Linked DNA regions of Caenorhabditis elegans. The protein of the gene in region 2 interacts with the protein of the main gene of each other region in a pairwise test. Each region holds a gene or a part of one and is shown on either strand. Other genes may lie near its edges. The genes, in order: ahcy-1 and trp-2.

Region 1 (4,330 bases), on a different chromosome or scaffold from region 2:
TGAGACGATCTTTTTCTGCACGCATGAGGCTAATTTTTGTGAATCCTTGTGTTGTCATGCCGCGCACCTGAATCAGTTTATCGAAATAATATTTTTTAAATCATTTTTCGAACCTCCGTCTTCCAACTTCTTGCATGATCTATTAATTGACTGAATGAACGAGTCTCAAATCTTGCCGGCTCATTTTCCCTCATTTTCGTGTGGGTAAGTTGTTTTAGTACTGAAAAATCAATAAATGGGGAAACATTTTGCAGGTTATAGAGAAACTGATAAAAATTGAACATCATGGGAATTTCTGTAAATATAAAAAGTGAAACACGAAATGAGTGAAGCGTTGAGAGAAATAAAGAACTTATTTATCAATAGAGCGCCCTTCACCCCGACAAATTTAAAATTTGTTTTTCCCTGCTTGAAATTTCCCGGGCGTAGATCTGAAAATTCGATAAACTCACGCCTAATCAAACGTTTTCAGAATAATTTCTCAAACAATCGTCAAAGTTACTCCATAAAACATTTATGTCCAAAAGACAAACAACAGAACCAAATCAACGAGTTGAAGAAAAACGACTAAATCAGGCGATTATGTATTTGGGGGAAAAGCGGGTAGATGGGGAACAATACAACCAGTTCAAGATCATATGAAGTTTGAGGGCAATACAATTTAAAACAGTTAAAAAAATATCCGTATGGGGTAGAACCAACAAAATTAATATCTGTAGTGGTCTGGCTTGTATGGTCCGGCAACTGGAACTCCAAGGTATGAAGCTTGCTCGTCGGAAAGCTTAGTAAGCTTAACTCCCAATTGAGCCAAGTGAAGATAAGCGACCTCCTCGTCAAGGGTTTTTGGAAGAACGTAGAGTCCGAGCTTGTATTCTTGTGGAGTTCCGAACTTGGTCCAGAGCTCAACTTGAGCGAGAACTTGGTTGGTGAAGGAGTTGGACATGACGAAAGATGGATGTCCGGTGGCACATCCAAGGTTGACAAGACGTCCTTCGGCAAGGAGGATGACGTGACGTCCGTTCTTGAGGGTGTAACGGTCAACCTGAAAAAAGTTGGTTCAAACTTCTATCGATGATTGTGAATTCATCCTAATTCTGAACATTTTCTTACCTGTGGCTTGATGGTGTCCTTCTTGGTGGCATTGGTGTTGAGCCATTTGACGTCAATCTCGCAATCGAAGTGACCAACGTTGCAGACGATAGCGTCATTTGGAAGAAGCTCGAAGTGCTTTCCGGTAACGATGTCCTTGCATCCAGTGGTGGTGACAATGATGTTAGCCTTTGGTGCAGCCTCCTCGAGGGTGGTCACTTCGTATCCTTCCATAGCGGCTTGAAGAGCATTGATTGGATCGATCTCGGTGACAATGACACGGGAACCGAAAGCCTTGAGGGAAGCAGCAGATCCCTTTCCGACATCTCCGTATCCAGCGACAACGGCTACCTTTCCGGCGAGCATAACATCAGTGGCGCGCTTGATTCCGTCTGGGAGAGACTCGCGGATTCCGTACAAGTTGTCGAACTTGGACTTGGTGACAGAGTCGTTGACGTTGATAGCTGGAACCTTAAGGTCTCCCTTGGCGAGCATCTTAGCCAAGTTGTGGACTCCAGTGGTGGTCTCCTCGGAAAGTCCGCGGATTCCAGCGAGGTATTGTGGGTACTTGGCGTGAACCAAGTTGGTAAGATCACCTCCATCATCAAGGATCATGTTGAGTGGTTGTCCATCCTTGAAGACGATAGTTTGCTCAATGCACCATTCGTATTCCTCGTCGGTCTCTCCCTTCCAGGCGTAGACTGGGACTCCGGTCTGGGCAATGGCGGCAGCAGCGTGATCTTGGGTGGAGAAGATGTTGCAGGAAGACCATTGGACCTGGAAAAAGTTTCGATTTTTCAAACCAACTTATTTTAATACTAATTCTTTCAAAAAACAAGATTTACCTCAGCTCCGAGAGCAGTAAGAGTCTCAATGAGAACAGCGGTTTGGATGGTCATGTGGAGACATCCGGCGATTCTAGCTCCCTTCAATGGCTGGGATGGTCCGTACTTGGAGCGCATAGCCATAAGTCCTGGCATCTCATTCTCAGCAAGGATGATCTCCTTGCGTCCGAAATCGGCGAGCTTGATATCAGCGACCTTGTAAGCTGGCTTAGACTGGGCCATTGCGAATGTGTTTTACCTGAAATAATTAGAAATTTATTTTAATCTGCAGGACGGATAGGGAAGAGAAGCGAAGAAGTCCATAAGACGGAAATAAAGAAAAAAAATGAGACACTTTTTTGAAAGTTCGGCTGTGAAAAGGATAAAACAAGAGTTTGTGAAGAAAAAAAAACTGATTGTGAGAAGGTTATTTTCCAATTTATAAGTTGTTTTTGTTTATCAGAGAATCGAAAATAAACAAAAACAACCTTGGCTTACGTGGATTGCCAAAACATCAATTTTTAAATGGAAAAAAACAATAATCCATGTGTAAATAAGTAAACCCGAAAATACGGAAGATAGTTAGTGGACGAGAACTTTTTTAGGTTTTAGAGTTTAATATGTGGGAAAATCTATTAAATCTGGAACCATGACGAAGAAATTTACAACTAGTCGGTCTTTTAAACATAAAACAAAGCGAGGAACTTTGCAAAAACTTTTCCCAAAAAGAAAGCTTTTTCGAAATTTCTACTGTTTCGATCAAAGGCGCAGTGATTTTTCTCAGTGGGTCCCGCCACGAAGGCCTAAAATTTGGACTTACTCGCCGCGAAACGATGATTTTTATTTGAAAATTACTAAAGAAAATTTAAGAAAAAAACGTATTGACACATGAGGTGAGATATGCATCCTGCGATGCTCGTCAACCGTCAAGACAGCGTTATTTATGGAGAATTGGCGATAAAATCTTGATAGCCTTGTAAAATGTAAGATTACTTTGGCCGATAGCTTTGGTAAAGTGACCTTCCTGAATTCCACACCACCGCAGATTTCTTTGAAGATTCTGTACGACCTAGAAAAGGATATCACGTTTCAGATTAAATTTTAGGATTCGTCGATGATAGATTTCCCCCACTTTCCTCTTGTTCTAGAATGATTCAGTACCTTTTCAGTCTGAAAGGGAAAAATCACTTTCTTTTTTTTTTGCTAGCCCGTATTCCTACGGCGTTATTTCTGGCCCAACGGCGGCCTTTTATAGCACCCAAATGCCTGTGCCACATCAGTCTCCGCCCACTTTTCGTCGTGGATGTGCTGCGTCTCTCATTCTCCGCTTCTGTGTACTTTTCTATGTTAGATGTGCAGGAATGATAAGAGCTTGAGAGAAAGCAGAGAAAGAGGAAAGCGAGGGAAATTCAAAAATTAATTTTCTATTTTTGACACATTTTTTACAATGTGGCGCCTCAATTTGGATAATGTAATTTTTCATGCAAGACGTCGACCGGGACAGTTTCAAAATTTCTAAGTGATATGTTCTGAAATATAACTGTGTTCTGAAATATAATTTTGCTCATTACAATTAAAACTAAAATTTTCTTTGCAAATCTCGTTAAATTCTAGAAGAATCTATTAGAGATCTATGTATCTCTTACTTTCTATCATCCAAGGTCACTTCTTATCGTAGTTCTTTTTTCGAAATGCCCTCCGCCGCCAATTTCGTAGACAATTAGGTTTCGCTTATCAATTTTGCAAAGTTCAGGTGGTTTTAATGTCTAATAGAATTCTATAAACTTTTTAATGTTTTAATCTCCTAGAATAGACTTCATTTAATTTTCCAAATAAAATTTCTTTTGGTTTTTCCAAAATCCTCGAATGCTGAGAATCCGGTGCAGTTTCTCTGAGATATCTATTTCCCGGAAAATGATTTTTGTAATTTAGTATCGGAAATTTTGGCAAGGCGAATTTTTCTAGACCCACTTCGACCGTATACCTCATCTGGAATTCCAGACAGCTGATCAGCTACACATCACGCCATTCACAATGTCTCATATTTTATGTTTCTTCTCTTATCTCAATGATTATATCATGGTGATCTTGTTAACAATCGGCGCACGAGAAACAAAAAAGGAGTAAAAGAATATTAGTGAAAGGTAAAAAGGAGAGATTTCCTGAAAAAATCTTTTAAGAAAGTTATTTAACAATTTATAATTTTAGGATGGGAATAGGTTGGGACGGGAGGAAACGAAGATCAAATGAGAGAATCAGGAGAAAAAACATTTAAAAATGAAATAAAAATGTAGAAATTCAACAAATAAAAATAAATAAATTATGTTAAAAGGCGTAGCGAGTGCGAATGTCTTCCAACTTCTTTGAGATCTGAAAATTAATTTAATTTAGGCTATAATATGGAAATTTTTTGTAGT
Region 2 (5,247 bases):
CTGCATGTTTTCAGAAATTTTTTAAAAGTTTTGGGTCCCACCACGAAAACTCTTGGGGTACTGTATCTAGTACGAAAAATGTTTTTGGTAGTATTTTTATCACAAAATCTAGAAAATCTCTTTCAATTTACACTAAACTGCGGAAAATGCACAAAACTGGCGGAGTTAGCGATTTTTAAATTTTAGAAAAAAATTTTTTTTTTGAATTTTAAAAAATTTTCAAAAATTCATAACCTTGTTAGTTTTGAAGATTTTTAGCTAATTTTTCGAGAAAAAAAATAGACGGAAGCTTAAGTTTTATGGGAAAAATGCAAAAAATGACACAAAAACAGTATCTCACTATTTTTGAGACTAAAAAAAATTGAAAAAAAAAACTCAAAAAAAAAATTTTTTTTTGGTTTTTTCCCAAAATTTTAGAAAAGTTTCCAACTGAAACCTATACTAATTTAAGCTTTTCTGAAAGCTCTTCTTATGCTCTATCCTATTAAAAAACTGTTTCCCCTCCCAACTCACCTCATAATCTGTGCGGAACTCATTTTCAATAAAACTCAACCGCTTGAGCTCCCAGCTCAGCTCGAAAGCGTACAAAATCGGGTCTCGAGCGGAAAGACAGATGAGCGACGGGCTTGTAAGTGCTCTATAGGCATTTATCCGTGACCTAGAAAGTCGCAGAGAATCCTCTTCCCTTGCCACGTAGCACTCGGGGCAGGAGCATCTGACGTCATGGGGGTGGGGTACCGTACCCTTCTTGTCCAAAAACAGCTTTATGCACTCGTAATTGTCTTTGTGAGCTGCTAACACTATTGGTGTGATGTCTGGAGTAAATGCTGAGTGCTCTGTGATCTCCACTCCTTGGCGCTGAAATTTCAGAAAATTTCAAATTTTCAAAAAAAAATGTTTTTTTTTTGAAAGTACAATTTTTAACCAATTTTTTGAACTTTTAACAAAAATGTTATAATATTTGCACTGGGCTAACTGAGAGCTTTCAAATGACCCCCATCATGTCCAGGTTCCGCCAACTTTGAAATTTTGGGTCCCGCCACGCGGGTTACGGTAGCTATGTTTCAGCTGTGTCAAGACATGAAAATGGCGTAAACTAGGCATGATGGGGGTCATTTTGAAGCTTAAAATGTGAAAAATTCAAAATTTCAATTTGAGAGATTTTCTAAAAAAAACATTTTGTGAAAATTAAAAAAAAATTTTTTTTCGAAAATTCGTACCTTTTTCAGTTTTCGGTTAATTTTCCTGAAACCTATCTCAAAATTAACCCAGTTATCTGAATTTGTTATAAAAGTTAATCCAAAATGAAAAGTTCGCTTCCTACAGTACCCCGAGACTTTTTCCCGACGGGACCCAATTTTTTTCCCGAAAAATTAAAAATTCTCAGAACCCAGTCATGATTATACTTTTCTGAAAGCTCTCAGTGCGCTGAAACTAAATTTTACGTTAAATTTCATATAAAAAATTCGAAAAAAGTACCTCCGAGTCAAATTTGTCCATTTTTTCCAGGTGCTCCACTATGATCTCCACCGCCTCCACGTTTTCCTCTCCAATTGCGTAGAGAATTGCGTCGCCGGTCTGAAATTGTAAAATTTTTGGAAATTAAACAAAAAATGAGTTAAAAATTTAGATTTTCGAAGTAGAACAATTTTTTTGAAAAAAAAAACATTTAAATCTGTGAAAAACAATTTTTTTTTGCCCAGATTTTCAATTTGGCTTCTGTTGCAGAAATTGTTTTTGTGACATACAATAATAAATTTCAAAACAAATAATTAAGGGCTTCGAAAAAAATTCAAAAAAAAATTCCAAAAAAAAAATTCCAAAAAAAAAATTCCAAATAAAATTTTCAAAAAAAAATTTTTTTTTCCAGAATTTCTCACTTTAGGCTTATTTTTCGAGCACATTTTAAAAATGCTTTTTTTCTTTAAAAAAGTGTGCAAAACGAAACCTCAATATTGTGGTCCAATAGTAACTCGATCATCTCGATGTTCTCGTTTTCAATTGCGATGAGAAGCGCGTTTCTGCAACCGGGAGGGGGAATAAGATATAAACCGGAACTCGCGGAGCCCGTAAAAATTCAAGTGTACTATGCTATAAAATATATTTTATTCGGGGAAAGAAAAGTTTAAAAAATGTTGAAAAAAAATTTTTCAAAAATTTATTAGTTTCAAAATTTTCTCGAAAAAATATTAGAGCTATTGCATTTTATTTATAAAACTCGAATTTACAACGCTTTCAGCTTTTAAATGACCCCCATCATGCCTAAGTTTCGTCAATTTTGAAATTTTCGGGTTTCGCGACGCGGGGTACTGTAGCTCTGATTTCAGCTGTGTCGGAACTTAAAATTGACGTAAACAAGGCATGTTGGATGTAATTTGAAAGCTTTTTGTATCGTAAATGCAAATAAATATATGAGAAAATTTAAAAAGTTCGAGAAAATTTTCCTCAAAAAACAAAAATTTTTTCTTTTTTCCTCAAATTTTGCAAAATTTTCCATTTTTCAAGCTAATTTCAAAAAATTTAAATTATCGACGTTTTCAGCTTTTAAATGACCCCCATCATGCCTTAGTTTAATCAATTTTGAAAGTTTTGGGTCTCGCCACGCGGGGTAGTATAGCTATGGTTTCAGCTGTGTCGAATTTCAAAATTGACAAATCATAGGCATGATGAGGCTTATTTGAAAGCTCTCGGGGTGCTGAATTCAAATTTTTATTTTCAAGAAAGAAATTGTAGAAATTGTAAAGAAATTTGCAACATTTCGAAAAAAAAAATTTTTTTTCAAAAATTTAATTTTTTCAAACTTTATCAAACCTACCTGCCAAGCGGATCCAAACAATTTATATTAAAAGTTTCCGTTGAAATTCCAGCCAAAAGCTTCCTAACACTCCCAATATCTCCCCGCTCGCAGGAGAGCAGGAACTGCTTCTCGCGGAGCCGCGAGTTGTCCGACTCGGTCCACGTGACATTGTTGCTGACGTCATCGTCATCTTCAATCATCCGAAACTCGGATGCTTCTGATGATGTCATTTTGGCTGGAAAATGGAAGGGTTTAGGGAAAATTTGCGATGTTTTGGGACGAAATTTGAAAAAAATTAAAAAACAAAGAAATTCCGAATTTTTTTAAAATTTACCGCTAAAATTAAGGGCATCAGAAAACCACGTATTTTATGAAAAAATTTTAAAATTGGAGGGAATTACAAAAAAAAAAGAAAAAGTGTCATAAAATATCTGAAATCTGACACTTTTTAGAGCACAATATTTTTATTTTCTCCAGATCGCCTGACGGAAAAATGTATTTTAGTTAGGGACGTTTTTGATTTGAAAAATATTTCAAAAAGATAATACACTAAAATTTAATACTGAAAAAATTGTATTAAATTTTTTTTGGATAACATTTTTTAAATAACATTTTTTTTCAATCCTCCAAAATTTTTTTAACCGATTTTCAAATCTTTAAAGAAGTTTATTTATTAATTTCAGAACGACAATAGCTTCAAAATGACCCCCATATTGCCTATACTCCTTTGATTTCGAGAATTTGGGTCCCGCCACGCGGGGTACTGTAGCTGTGGTTTCAGCTGTGTCGGAGCTTAAAATTGACGGAAACTAGGCATGATGGGTGTCATTTTGAAGCTAAAATAAAAAAGTTCAAAAACTGATACGGAAAAAAACCTACAATTAAGTGGGTGTTTAAAAAATATTCAAAAAATATTCAAAAAAAAAATTTTTGAAGAAATTTATATTTTCTCCACAATTTATTAATTTTTGGTTTTTTTTTTAAATTTGAATTTATATTATTTACATTTGTGATATCGAGTGCTTTAAAATAACCCCCAATACGCCTATATTCCATCGATTTTTATAATTTGGGTCTCACCACGATGGGTACTGTAGCTGTGGTTTCAACTGTGTCGGAACTCAAAATTAACGGGAACTAGGCATGATGGGTGTTATTTTGAAGCCAGGAAAATGAGAAATTCGAAAAATAGGGAATAAAGCTGCAAAAATACGAATTAAAAAAATTTGCAGCAAAACATTTTAAAAAAATTTTTAATAAATTTTCGACACAATTTTTTTTCTAAAAACCCTATTACTAAAACCAGAAAACACTTTAAGCTTCACAAGCTCCGCCGAGAGCATAATAATGCGCGTTTTAAAACACACATCTCTCTCCCGGAGACGCTCATAATTTTTGCGCTTTTTCCATCACTTTTCCGCAAAGTTTAACAGCAATTATGTGTAGTTTTTGACTTTGACAGGAAAAATTGTTGGAAATAATTGAAATGAGATCAAAAAGTTATTAAAAGTTATTAAAAAATTGTTGAATTTTTTTGTCCTATTTTTTTCCGAAAAAAAAAAGATTTTTCCAAAAATTCTTTAAAAAATTAAGTTTATAAAAATGAGATTATAAAAATCAAGTTAAGATTTTTTCTAGCTTTCAAATGACCCCCATCATGCCTGGGTTCCGTTAGTTTTAAAATTTTGGGTCTCGCCACGCGTGGTACGGTAGCTCTGATTTCAGCTGTGTCGGAACCCAAAGTGATCGGAAAATAGGCATGATGGGGGTCATTTTGAAGCTGAAAATGTAAGGAAGTCAAAAATTTTTATGAAAATGCTCACTATCAGGAACCAACACTTCACACAAAGTTTTCAAAAAACGATTTTTCAGAAAAAAACAAAAAGAAAAGATTTTTCCCCAATTTTTTAAAAATTGTTTAATTTTCTAGATTTGAAACTAAAATTTCTATGATTAGGACATTGTAAGCTTTCAAATGACCCCCAACAAGCCTATATTCCGTCAATTTAAAAAATTTTGGGTCTCGCCACGCGGGGTACGGTAGCTATGCTTTCAGCTGTGTCGGAACTCAAAATTGACGGAATATATAAGCTGAAAATGTAAGAAATTCAAAAAATTTCCCAGGACTCCAAGACTCTTCCATAAAACCAAATAATGAAAAATGTTTCATTAGGAGGGGTCTTAAGCCATCATGATTGGGGGACGACGATGGGATTCTGGAGCAAAAAGGGGGTGAAAAAGAACAAAAATTGAGAAATAGACGAGAGCAGCACAGGAGCAGCAGCAGCTTGTGCTCCACGGAGCTAAAGAAGAGATAACAGAATTTCGCACATCTTCCCCCCTCCCCATTTTTTGGCTTAAGCTTCAGGAGGATGGGAGGGGGGAAACGCGAAATAAATTGAATTTCAAAAAAGTGTGTGGCGCATACATACACACATATTCAACAAAAA

The links.
Region 1: the proteins of trp-2 (region 2) and ahcy-1 interact in a two-hybrid assay, tested with the Caenorhabditis elegans proteins (one large-scale study listed by BioGRID).

What each region holds. Positions count from the first base shown.
Region 1 is NC_003279.8:6,834,311-6,838,640, reverse strand, and holds ahcy-1 (Adenosylhomocysteinase), read right to left. Parts: upstream 2,173-4,330; 5' UTR 2,157-2,172; coding exon 1,935-2,156; intron 1,867-1,934; coding exon 1,111-1,866; intron 1,043-1,110; coding exon 707-1,042; 3' UTR 501-706; downstream 1-500. Other genes in the region: dpf-3 (Dipeptidyl Peptidase Four (IV) family), read right to left, coding at 1-67, 114-287; teg-4 (Splicing factor 3B subunit 3), read right to left, coding at 4,239-4,283. UniProt on the Caenorhabditis elegans protein: Adenosylhomocysteine is a competitive inhibitor of S-adenosyl-L-methionine-dependent methyl transferase reactions; therefore adenosylhomocysteinase may play a key role in the control of methylations via regulation of the intracellular concentration of adenosylhomocysteine.
Region 2 is NC_003281.10:989,661-994,907, reverse strand, and holds the start of trp-2 (Transient receptor ion channel domain-containing protein), read right to left. Parts: upstream 3,028-5,247; coding exon 2,816-3,027; intron 2,022-2,815; coding exon 1,949-2,021; intron 1,579-1,948; coding exon 1,480-1,578; intron 859-1,479; coding exon 514-858; intron 1-513.